Linked DNA regions of Xenopus tropicalis. The protein of the gene in region 2 purifies or fractionates together with the protein of the main gene of each other region. This does not show direct contact. Links are inferred from orthologs where the notes say so. Each region holds a gene or a part of one and is shown on either strand. Other genes may lie near its edges.

Evidence for each region.
Region 1: the proteins of bcas2 (region 2) and prpf19 purify together in Homo sapiens (co-immunoprecipitation; 10 studies listed by BioGRID and IntAct, counting the BioPlex papers as one, with this or other methods). This does not show direct contact. The link is inferred for Xenopus tropicalis from reciprocal best matches to the Homo sapiens genes BCAS2 and PRPF19.

What each region holds. Positions count from the first base shown.
Region 1 is NC_030683.2:60,625,279-60,631,812, reverse strand, and holds the start of prpf19 (pre-mRNA-processing factor 19), read left to right. Parts: upstream 1-2,587; 5' UTR 2,588-2,716; coding exon 2,717-2,735; intron 2,736-3,619; coding exon 3,620-3,769; intron 3,770-4,887; coding exon 4,888-4,964; intron 4,965-5,884; coding exon 5,885-6,026; intron 6,027-6,534. UniProt on the Homo sapiens protein: Ubiquitin-protein ligase which is a core component of several complexes mainly involved pre-mRNA splicing and DNA repair. Required for pre-mRNA splicing as component of the spliceosome.
Region 2 is NC_030682.2:7,011,682-7,017,946, forward strand, and holds the end of bcas2 (pre-mRNA-splicing factor SPF27), read left to right. Parts: intron 1-1,835; coding exon 1,836-1,928; intron 1,929-2,388; coding exon 2,389-2,459; intron 2,460-2,592; coding exon 2,593-2,754; intron 2,755-2,877; coding exon 2,878-2,928; intron 2,929-3,193; coding exon 3,194-3,274; intron 3,275-3,786; coding exon 3,787-3,907; 3' UTR 3,908-4,196; downstream 4,197-6,265. Other genes in the region: ndufb10 (NADH dehydrogenase [ubiquinone] 1 beta subcomplex subunit 10), read right to left, coding at 5,245-5,342, 6,202-6,265. UniProt on the Homo sapiens protein: Required for pre-mRNA splicing as component of the activated spliceosome. Component of the PRP19-CDC5L complex that forms an integral part of the spliceosome and is required for activating pre-mRNA splicing.

The sequences.
Region 1 (6,534 bases), on a different chromosome or scaffold from region 2:
TCCAAACGTGTTCAGCGGAATGTGCACAGGAGCGCAGAAATCACGTCTGAGGGTTAAGCCAAGGACGGGGATTGCGGGCATGACTGCGTTGCGGCTGCAGGGGGCATGGGCGTTTATTGCAGATGATAAAATAGAGTTGCAAGTATTTACCAGTAACTCAGGATCAGAGGAAGCACAGAAGGAGGAGAGGTTAGAACTAAGAGATTTAGAAAGAGCAATTATATCAACCCTTCGAGTGTTTTAGGCCGAGCGTTAGTAGAAGGAGAAGGAGATGCGTGTGAGATAGAAAAAGAGATAAGATTATGATCTGAAAGAGGAAAAGGCTCACTGTTAAATGCAGATAGATCTAGATTTTTGGAAACCATCAGATCTAGGAAATGACCATCCTTATGGGTAGCTGTATTAGTCCACTGCTGGAGATCATTAATTAGGAGAACCAATAGCTTATCTGAAAGAAGTTCCATTGTTAAGTGCTGGCTCTTTCTGAAAGCTCAAAGGCAGACACAATGGGGCACATTTATTAACAGTGGGCAAATTTGCCCATGGGCAGTAACCCATAGAAACCAATCAGTAATTACCTTTTTTCAGCCAGCTGCAGGTAGAACTATGAATGTAACAATTTGGTTGCCATAGGTTACTGCCTGTGGGCAAATTTTCCCACTGTTCATAAATGACCCCCAATGACCTGAGATGGCTCCCTACACATCAATATTACAACAAAAAAAATACATTTATTGGTTCAAGAATACAATTTAAAATGGAAGAACTAATTATTTGTAATGATTTGCAACTAATTATTTGCAACGTAAAAAAAACTATACCATACAAATTATGACAGAATCCCTTTAAAAACGGTCTTAACCACAAAAAAGGAATGAGTGTATATTTACTGAGTGGTGCTCTGCAAAATTTTGCAAATTATACTACTTTTCGCATACCTCCCAACTGTCCCGCATTTCTCCACCCTGTCCCGCAGTCCTGGATTGATTTTGAAATGTCCCGCGTTGTCTGAATTGCCCCGCTTTCTAAATTTCCCCTCTCTCTGCTCTTCTCCCTGTGACGTCACACTCGTGTCTCTCGCTCATTTCCATTCTAACATTTATGTGAATGCATTGCAGAAGCTGCGGTGCTCCCGATAGACGCGAGTGTGACATCATGGGGAGAAGAAGAGCCGGGGGACGCAGCAAGAGGCAGCAGGCGGGTGGGGGGGGGAGCAGGGGGAGCCGCAGGGAGGATGTTGCGGGGGAGTTGAAGGATGTTGAGGAGGACGCTGGGAGTGAGCTGGAGGATACTGGGGGGGAACTGGAGGAAGCTAAGGGGGAGCTGGGGGACGCTGAATAGGATGTTGCGGGGGAGCTGGAGCATATTAGGGGGGAGCTGAAGGATGTTGGGGAGGATGCTGGGAGGGAGCTGGAAGCTGGAGGAAGCTAAGGGGGAGCTGGGGGATGCGGGGGAGCTGAAGGATGTTGGGGAGGATGCTGGGGGGAGCTAGAGGATACTGGGGGGAGCTGAAGGATGTTGGGGAGGAAGCTGGAGGATGCTAAGTGGGAGCTGGGGGATGCTGGGGAGGACATTGCGGGGGAGCTGGAGGATGTTGGGGAGGACGCTGGGGGGACCTGGAGGATACTAGGGGGAGCTGGAGGATGCTGGGGAAGATGCTGAGAGGGAGCTGGAGGATGCTGGGGAAGGTGCTGGGAGGGAGCTGGAGGATGCTAAGGGGGAGCTGGAGGATGCAGGGGAGGACGCTGGGAGGGAGCTGGAGGATGCTGGGGGGAGCTGGAGGATGCTGCAGTGGGGAGCAACCCATACTATGGGGACAATGGGGGAGGACCAGCAATGTTTAAGGGGGCCCTGGGCTGGCTAGCAATGTTTTAGGGTGTCCCTGCCCTGCCACCAATGCAAAACGTAACACCTGGCTACCAATGTCATGATATACAGGTGCTACAGTGCGTAATGAAATTCTTAGGGCTACATATGTGATAAATGTCATAAAATTATTGGGGCCACCATGCCTATCTTCTGGTGCACTTTGTGTGTGTTATGTTTTTCAGGTGTGGTTTTGTAAAATGGGCCTGGTTGGGGGGCGTGGCCATAAAGTGGGCGTGTCCTGAAATATTTGTCCCTCCTTCTACTTTTCAAATGTTGGGAGGTATTTCTGAGATAGATGTTTTAGACTGCTAACAGCAGGCTTTCGCCTAAATAACTTATCAGGTAGTCTGTCTATGCAAATCTTGTATGTATTCCGTTTACCCTCAGGTTGCCGACTCTAAAGGCAGCCTAAGAATTGATAAAGATAATAAATTAATATAAATAGCACCAAACATGCATATATGTGGGGAAGCCCTTAGATAGTAAACACAACTAAAGAAGAGACTGACACGTATGATAATCACAAAGCGCTGTGAAATACTTCAGTGCTGCCAGGAACTGCAGCTGTACACATCCGGCTACACTACGCCGAGTCTATCTCTTCTTTCATTGCTTTACGTAAAACGTCTAGCTGTAGAGCGGATGTAGAAACAAAGAAAACCGGAAGTACTTTGCCGACGCTGGTTACACGCTGTTTCCAAGTTTACCTCGGTAGAACGGAGATAGCCCGCCAAAGGGCCTGCCCAATTTAAGTCTGAAAACAGGGAGTCCTAGCTGAACAGCATCACTAAAAAGAAAACAACGCTATTTCTCGCCTAACCATATTGCTCAAAGAGATACCTGGAAGATGTCTTTGACATGTTATAGTGAGTGCAACATAAAACAGCAGTAGAATAGCACTACCGGATTCATAAAATGCTTGTATAAAGTTGCTGAGCATCGGCTGTGTGGATGCAACGTGTCATTTGATACGATATTTGGTATACAGGTCCTATATATAGAAATTCAATGCAAGTTATTTAATAGTAGAAAATATTTTTCCCTAAATTTGTGTTTATGTCAACAAAAGTTGTATTGTATCTGGAGCTTGCTAATTGTGTTAAGTTAATATTTTTTGTAATATCTTGATGTATGATTTGTATACATTGATGTATGCCCCAAAAAGTTGGCGCTCTCTTTGGGGTTAAGATTTTAATCACTACAAGGATTAGGTAGAGGAAGGCAGCTCAAAGATATATTTAATTATAGTTCACTTAAAAGTAATTGATATAGATAAGTGGTATTTTTTTTTTCCCTCAAGTTTGCTTTTTCACATTAGTATACTCAGAGTATCCAAATTAATTGTATTGACATTGATTCAGGAGCGCGGACAGGGTTTGTATATACATTGATGTATAGTCATATTTAAAGCATTCAGAAAATGCAAGCAGGGTTATTAGCTGGGGATAGCTCTGTTAGAAATATGGTATTGTGACCATGATTTAGAAATATAATGTAAGAGATTGTAATTTGTGTACCTTTGCTTGCATACAAAACATTTAATTCATTAATGTATAAAATGGTTAGACTCCAACTTTAATGAAAGGTACTAAATACTTAATGCTTTTGTTCCTACCACTTGAATTTTAGGACATAATTGTATTTGACAGTACATGTGTATTTAAAACCTATGTTTAGACTTATAAGCAATTATGCCATTTATAATCTAAACATGTTTATAAAAATTCACATTTTTCTCATTTGCCTGTAGTCAGTAATGAGGTCACAGATCGCCCCTGCATTTCCCCGGTGTCGGGTCATATTTTTGATCGCCGCCTTATTGAAAAGTATTTGGCTGAAAATGGGACAGATCCAGTAACAAATCAGCCCTTAAGTGAGGATCAGTTGATTGACATTAAAGGTCAGTAGAGCTGTGAAAACGTCTAATGCTATTTTTCTTTGTGTTCAGTTTAATGGTACAGGTATGGGATCCCTTATCCAGAAAGTTTCCCATAGACTCCATTATAAGCAAATAATTCTAATTTTTTCCTTTTTCTCTGTATTAATAAAACAGTGCCTTGTACTTGATATATTTAATCCTTATTGGAGCCAAAACTATCCTATTGGGTTTATTCAATATTTAAATTATTTTTAGTGGACTTTAGTTATGGAGATCCAAATTACGGAAAGATTCCTTATCCGGAAAATCCAAGGTCCCAAACATTCTGGATAACAGGTCCCATACCTGTATAGGGAATTTACTTGTCATTCACCTGTAACCCCCCCCCCCCCCCAAAAAAAAAATTAGCCATACCTAACACAAAAAAAAACCAAAAAACTATAATTTCTGTTGGGTCATTTAAAGGTATTATTTTACGTTTGCACAACGCACAGTAATGCTAATTGTAGCTAGAGATGGCACATTGCTTCCAAAGCCAAATTTTACATTTTAATTAGTGTATGTTCCCAAACTTCACTAAGTGAATACACATAATTTTACAGATTTTTAGAAGAAAAATAACTGAATTATGCATTAGTAAGCCAATTTCTTGCTTTTAATTAGCCTATAATATATGGATCCACATATTTTTGTATTGCACTTTTTGTACACAGTTCTATGAAATACTTTTACAAAACTCTTAATGTTATTTTGGTTGACTGTGTCAAAAGACTTAAAAAGGGGAACTTCTATATCGTGGTTGGGCCTTACATATAGGTCATATTACAGACTATTTAAATTTTGTCTTTATTTACCTGTCTTTGAGCTACTGTATGTAAAATGTAAACTGGTAACAAGTTTAGATATTTATAATACCTAGACCTGTCGCAAAAAAAAATTGATTAGTAGATCTACATAAGAATAAATAGATTGTGCTGTGTATCCATTTATACTCTAAATTACACATGAGTGGTCTAAACAGATAATAGAACAACATTTTTTAAGTTTAATTCTTCTTTAATCACAGCAAAGAATGGAGCGATGTTTTTACTTTTTCTTCAATTAGTTTATTGAAGGGTCTTTTATCCTGTTTCTTACAGTAGCCCATCCAATTCGTCCTAAACCACCTTCTGCAACCAGTATTCCAGCAATCCTGAAATCATTGCAAGATGAGTGGGTTAGTATCTGGATCCTTCACTTTGTGCTTTCTCTCCTTACTGTCTATAAAATGTGTTGGTGTAGATTAAAAAAAAAAAAAATAGAACATATGTATTGCACAGCTGATTATTAATAAATAGATTTACAAAGCGTAACTGTATTCATTAGCCATGTGGTAAAGTGTATTGTTAGTGTTTAATGTATCAGGTTTTTTACTTGTTTAAATTAGTAAAGGGTAAATCTGCTGGGTATATTGTTTTATTGTTTTATACATGTGTTCTTTGCCTCAGTATATATTGTTTTATACATGTGTTCTTTGCCTCAGCAGAGGCAAAATTATGGAAACCTAATAGAGGTTTTGATATATCTTTACTGTTTCCTGCAGATACATTATTGCATCATAAGTGAGAATATGAAAATTACTGAAATTATTTTGATATCATGATGTTAAACATAACCACATAATACTTAAATATGGCAAGGTTTTGACCTTATGTACAGTAGTATTTGTTTTTTATTCATTTTTTTTCTCTAATAGTGGCAGCAGTAGCAATATATATGCACTGGCGTTCATTTGGAGGGGTTAAACTTGATGGACTTTGGGGTTTTTTTTCTACCCAGTTTAATTATGTAACCAGTTTCACTTTGTGCATGTTCATAGTTTGTTAGTAGATTGTGAGAGGGTTCGATTAAAGAAAAAAAATAAGACTTTTTTTTTCGGCTTGAGCCCCATGTGTGTCTACATTATCTATCTTTAGATGTGCTTTAATCATTGTGCAGCGAATAAGTTCGATATTATGTGGAAGGAAGCTATATAAATCCCCCAATATGGATCCATTTTTACATAAAGAAATCAGACCTACAGATTGTTTTTGCTGTGGAAAAATGGAGTAAGTTATGAGTAACCTCAGTCAATAATATAGCTTTTTCTAATTTCAGGATGCAGTGATGCTCCACAGTTTCACTTTGCGTCAACAACTACAGACCACTCGACAGGAGCTCTCTCATGCACTTTACCAGCATGATGCTGCTTGTCGTGTCATTGCTCGTCTTACCAAGGAGGTGACAGCTGCCCGTGAAGGTATGAAGTGCAGAAGGAGAGTGCTAGTATAAAAGGATTATTAAAGGAGAACTAAAGCTTAACTGAAGAAATAGGCTAGAAATGTTGTACATTATGTTTGGGCTTGTGTACCAGCCCAAGGTAACCACAACCCTTTAGCAGATTCCCCCAGTAGCTCCCCATCTTCTTTTCTACTGATTCATTGCACATGATCTGTGCTGCTTTAAGTTACAGAGCTTAGGGACCCACTCACAATATACCGAATATATAGAATATAAATGTCACCGTATATGGTAGATTAGTAATTTATTCAGATTCACTTTACATGGCAGCTCTAAAACCAGTGCAGTTAGCATCAGAATTTAATAATCAAACCTGTAGCATCAGCTTCTATGACAGCTCAAGCTTGTTTTCTGCTTGATAATTTGTGATGACCCCTAAGCTTAGCTACTCAACAGCTGCCCAGAGCACACTGAGCATGTGCAGTGTCCTGGACAGTTATAACATAATCTAAGATGGGGCATTCCTG
Region 2 (6,265 bases):
ATTTCTACTGTAAATAACCGGTCTGTGCTGCCCCTGTGTGTCACATGACTCCCATTGGGGGCATTTCTACTGTAAATACCCGGTCTGTGTTGCCCCTGTGTGTCACATGACTCCCATTGGGGGCATTTCTACTGTAAATACCCGGTCTGTGCTGCCCCTGTGTGTCACATGACTCCCATTGGGGGCATTTCTACTGTAAATACCCGGTCTGTGCGGCCCCTGTGTGTCACATGACTCCCATTGGGGGCATTTCTACTGTAAATACCCGGTCTGTGCTGCCCCTGTGTGTCACATGACTCCCATTGGGGGCATTTCTACTGTAAATACCCGGTCTGTGCTGCCCCTGTGTGTCACATGACTCCCATTGGGGGCATTTCTACTGTAAATACCCGGTCTGTGCTGCCCCTGTGTGTCACATGACTCCCATTGGGGGCATTTCTACTGTAAATACCCGGTCTGTGCTGCCCCTGTGTGTCACATGACTCCCATTGGGGGCATTTCTACTGTAAATACCCGGTCAGTGCTGCCCCTGTGTGTCACATGACTCCCATTGGGGGCATTTCTACTGTAAATAACCGGTCTGTGCTGCCCCTGTGTGTCACATGACTCCCATTGGGGGCATTTCTACTGTAAATACCCGGTCTGTGCTGCCCCTGTGTGTCACATGACTCCCATTGGGGGCATTTCTACTGTAAATACCCGGTCTGTGCTGCCCCTGTGTGTCACATGACTCCCATTGGGGGCATTTCTACTGTAAATACCCGGTCTGTGCGGCCCCTGTGTGTCACATGACATCCATTGGGGGCATTTCTACTGTAAATAACCGGTCAGTGCTGCCCCTGTGTGTCACATGACTCCCATTGGGGGCATTTCTACTGTAAATACCCGGTCTGTGCTGCCCCTGTGTGTCACATGACTCCCATTGGGGGCATTTCTACTGTAAATAACCGGTCTGTGCTGCCCCTGTGTGTCACATGACTCCCATTGGGGGCATTTCTACTGTAAATACCCGGTCTGTGTTGCCCCTGTGTGTCACATGACTCCCATTGGGGGCATTTCTACTGTAAATACCCGGTCTGTGCTGCCCCTGTGTGTCACATGACTCCCATTGGGGGCATTTCTACTGTAAATAACCGGTCTGTGCTGCCCCTGTGTGTCACATGACTCCCATTGGGGGCATTTCTACTGTAAATACCCGGTCAGTGCTGCCCCTGTGTGTCACATGACTCCCATTGGGGGCATTTCTACTGTAAATACCCGGTCAATGCTGCCCCTGTGTGTCACATGACTCCCATTGGGGGCATTTCTACTGTAAATAACCGGTCTGTGTTGCCCCTGTGTGTCACATGACTCCCATTGGGGGCATTTCTACTGTAAATAACCGGTCAGTGCGGCCCCTGTGTGTCACATGACTCCCATTGGGGGCATTTCTACTGTAAATACCCGGTCAGTGCTGCCCCTGTGTGTCACATGACTCCCATTGGGGGCATTTCTACTGTAAATACCCGGTCTGTGCTGCCCCTGTGTGTCACATGACTCCCATTGGGGGCATTTCTACTGTAAATAACCGGTCAGTGCTGCCCCTGTGTGTCACATGACTCCCATTGGGGGCATTTCTACTGTAAATACCCGGTCAGTGCTGCCCCTGTGTGTCACATGACTCCCATTGGGGGCATTTCTACTGTAAATACCCGGTCTGTGTTGCCCCTGTGTGTCACATGACTCCCATTGGGGGCATTTCTACTGTAAATACCCGGTCTGTGCTGCCCCTGTGTGTCACATGACTCCCATTGGGGGCATTTCTACTGTAAATAACCGGTCTGTGTTGCTCTCAGGCTGCAGCTTTGGTGGAAGAGGAGACCAGAAGATATCGGCCTACAAAGAACTACCTGAGTTACTTGCCCACCCCCGACTATTCCGCATTTGAGGTAATGGCTTTCTCCCTATTCTGCAGCACCCTACACTGGGTGCCCCTCTGCTCTATTCACGGTGGTTGCACATTGGCCAACCAAATGGCTTCCCTGCTAGAGAACTCACCCTGGCAACTAAGAACCTATTGCTCTGTGAGGCTTCAATTTTATTGTTACTGTTACTTTTTATCCAGCCCCTCCCCTATACTCATTCACACCACTGTCTGGTTGCTAGGGTAAATTTGACCCTAGCAACTTGATATCTCTGCAAAATATTAATACTTCATTATTCATTCTGCTACTACTCGTCCTTATGTCTGTCAGTTCTCCAAAGATTGCTTTCATAGTCCCATAACCCCGAGGGGTTTGCATGCACAGAGCCCACCCTGGCACCTACTGGTGCTAATATCACGTGGGTGGGGGGCATGTTCCCTTCACAGAGGAGACCAAGATTCCAACTTTCATTCATTTTATTTAGACTGAAATCATGAGGAACGAGTTTGAAAGACTTTCGTCGCGCCAGCCCCTCGAACTGCTCAGCATGAAGAGGTGAGTGCCGTCTGGTTACTATGGGTTACTGGACCAAGATCTGTGCATTGCTTTACAGCCCTGTGGTTTCCATGTGGTCTCATTGTGCTGAAGGGTATCCGTGGAAATACCATACCCCTCTCTCTGATTCTAGGTATGAGTTACCGGCCCCCCTATCCGGCCAGAGGAACGACATCACCGCGTGGCAGGAATGTGTCAATAACTCCATGGCCCAATTGGAACACCAGGCCGTCCGTATAGAGAACCTGGAGCTCATGTCCCAGCACGGCTGTAACGCCTGGAAAGTCTATAACGAGTGAGTTGGGAACATGGCGTTGGGGGGGGGGGGGGGGGGGGGTGTTGATTTACAGCACAGGATATAGCATGACCCAATGATACTGCCGCCCTTCAGTCACGTGATTCTTCTGTCTCCTCCCAGGAACCTGCTGCATATGATCGACTGCGCGCAGAAAGATCTCCAGAAGTTACGGTGAGACGGCATTAAGCCCATACTAACCATATATATATATATATATATATATATATATATATATAATCCTTCCCTGGCCGTGGGGAAGAGAGCAGCCCAGAAGCAGGAAGTGCAGAGATTTAGAGCTCAGTTCCTGTGTAATTACTGGGATGAGCTTCGAGTTACCTACGTGGGGTAGTTCCTAGCCCTGGGGTATTACTAGCAGTTGCACACTTCCATTTTAACAGCTCTAACGCTTTCACTATTTGTCTTGTTACCGGAACAGGAAAAAGATTCAGGACTTGAACTGGCAGAGAAAGAACTCCCAGCTGACAGCAGGTGCCCGACTCAGAGAGATGGAGTCAACGTAAGTGAGATTTGTGCATTTTGTTCACACCTAGGGTGAACTTATCAAGGGAATACCTACTCCCCTATACTGTATTTCCATGAATGAAGTACACACAGGCTTTGAGTGTGCCTAGCGGGCTGTTCCTGCTGAACAGGGGAATCCCTATGCTGCCATAGTTTTATGGTATCTCTCTGTACAGGCTATGAGCAAACTTAGGGGGCTGTTCCTGCTGAATTGTGCTTAGTACAGGGGAATCCCTATGTGCCATAGTTTTATGGTATCTCTCTGTACAGGCTATTAGCAAACTTAGGGGGCTGTTCCTGCTGAATTGTGCTTAGTACAGGGGAATCCCTATGTGCCATAGTTTTATGGTATCTCTCTGTACAGGCTATGAGCAAACTTAGGGGGCTGTTCCTGCTGAATTGTGCTTAGTACAGTGTATGGTATTTATGGGATGCTAATATTTTAGCTTTAATAGAACTGGTAGTCATTTTCGTCTGTCTCTAACTTGCTTTCTGTGCCGGTTGCAGGTGGGTGTCTCTTGTGAGCAAAAACTACGAGATTGAGAGAGCAATTGTGCAAATGGAGAATGAAGTCTATCAGCTGAAAGAGAGGAGCGGGGAGAATAAGGAAAATATTGAAGATTATTAAGGCCCTGCCCCAAGGATTACAGGTTCCAGGGTAACAGCACCGGTCCTGCTGCAGAGACTCTGGCGCCATGTTGGGCAGCGCTGCTGGGGGTTCTGGTTGCTTTATGGCTCTTCACTCTGGAAATGTAGCGAGTAGTCTCTGCCTGGGTGCTGATAGGCGCAGGGATGGGTCTCCCTGTTTCACCCAAATGCCCCAGTGCTGCCTCGTAGGCCGGGCACATACCGGCTTTTATAAGGAAATTCTGACTTGTTTTTCACTGTAATATTAATAATAAAGTGTTTTCCAGAAATCTTCCACTTTTATCATCCTGTGCGCTCCTGGGGGTCTGTACTGAGCACCCCACACAACCGTAACCCTGGCCTGGGTGGGGGCACACCATTATATATTAGATAGCACCCCCGTCTCTGCACAAGTGCCTGATCTCACCAGAGGGAAATAGGTATGTTCTGAGCTGGGACGGATTTCCCACATGGGCAGCTTCGACAGATAACGGGTCATGTGTGTAACAGTGAGAGGAAATCAGCGTAAAAACCAATGAACTGTCTTCTATAGGCCATAGAGATACAGTGGGAAAGCCTGGCATTGCCCTTCCTCCTGGGTCTCATCTGTTTTTACAATGTTAATATCATGAAGGTGTAACAGGAGCGCCCCCTGCTGTTCTGTGCAGGCGGAGACACAAGCAGCACTGAGCCCAGAGACACTTCCAGCATCAGCAAATGAAACTTTTCCCCTATCTGTCTGGCTCTGACTTGGTGTGAATACTGCAAATAGCATGGAAACTAAAGAAGTAGGGCAGAAATGCTGTACATTATGTTTTGGGCTTCTGTACCAGCCACACAGCCCTTCAGCAGGGAAGATCTGTGCCAGTAAAGATGCCCCAGTAGCCCCCATCTTCTCTTCTGCCAATTCACTGCACATACTCTGTGCTGCTGACACAATATACTGTATGTATAGAATATTAATGTTGCAATATAACACTGATTAGTAAGTAATACAGCTGCCCAGAGCCCACTGAGCATGTGTGAGTCGCAGACACTCCTCTGACGGCTGTAAAGACCTGAATCACTGATGCTAGAGGGAGGCTGAACCTGTAGGCTGGGGCAGTAAGTTCAGTATATAAAATATAGCATTTCTAGCCATGTTCATTTTTAGGGTTTAGTCCTTAAGTGCCCATAATGGCGAGGCTGGTTACTAAGGGAAGGGCAGCCGGGCAACCTGTACAGAGCAGCAAGGGAGGTTAAACGACTGGCAGCACAAGTGGAAATGAAGTTCTAATAGAGAGTTTATTATACAGACAGTATGGCAGGAACATGTACAAGTGCCGCAGGGTTTGGGGCTCACTGGGCCTGAGCCGCCGCTTTCCTTTCCGCAATCATCCGGTGTTTCTGCTTCATCAGACATTTGCGAGCGTTGCCGTAAGCGCCGAGGTCGCCATCTGCCGACACAGAAGGAGTTTAATGGTCAGTAAGTTTAGTTGCTTTCGCCCAAGCTGCCAGCAAAATGTGCCTTGGGGGGGTCAGACTATCAGATGCCCGGCACAGGCAGGAGTATTAGACATGTGATTTGTCAGCGACTCAGTGGGGGTGCCAGTGTGAAAGGTGGGGGGTCAGAGTATCTGCTGCCTGGCACAGGCAGGCACTTTAGCCAATTCATTTGTCAGCTACTCAGTGGGGGGTGCCAGTGTGTGTGGGGGGGGGGGGGGGTCAGACTATCCGATGCCCGGCACAGGCAGGCACTTTAGCCAATTCGTCAGTTACTCAGTGGGGGTGCCGGTGTGTAAGGAGGGGGGAGGGGGACAGAATATTCGATGCCCGGCACAGGCAGGCGCTTTAGCCATTTCCTTTGTCAGCTACTCAGTGGGGGTGCCAGTGTGTGTGTGTGGGGGGGTCAGACTATCCGATGCCCAGCACAGGCAGGCACTTTAGCCAATTCATTTGTCAGTTACTCAGTGGGGGTGCCAGTGTGTGTGGGGGGGTCAGACTATCCGATGCCCAGCACAGGCAGGCACTTTAGCCAATTCATTTGTCAGTTACTCAGTGGGGGTGCCAGTGTGTGTGGGGGGGGGGGTCAGACTATCCGATGCCCGGCACAGGCAGGCACTTTAGCCAATTCATTTGTCAGTTACTCAGTGGGGGGTGCCAGTGTGTGTGGGGGGGGGGTCAGACTATCCGATGCCCGGCACAGGCAGGCACTTTAGCAAATTCATTTGTCAGTTACTCAGTGGGGGTGCCAGTGTGTAAGGTGCAGCGCATTGGGCACCCCCAGTGAGTCTACATTCTAGGAGCTGCACTTACATCTAGACTGGTAGCCCTTGGCTGCTTCGGTGAACTGGGCAACCTCCTTGGCACAATTCTGTAC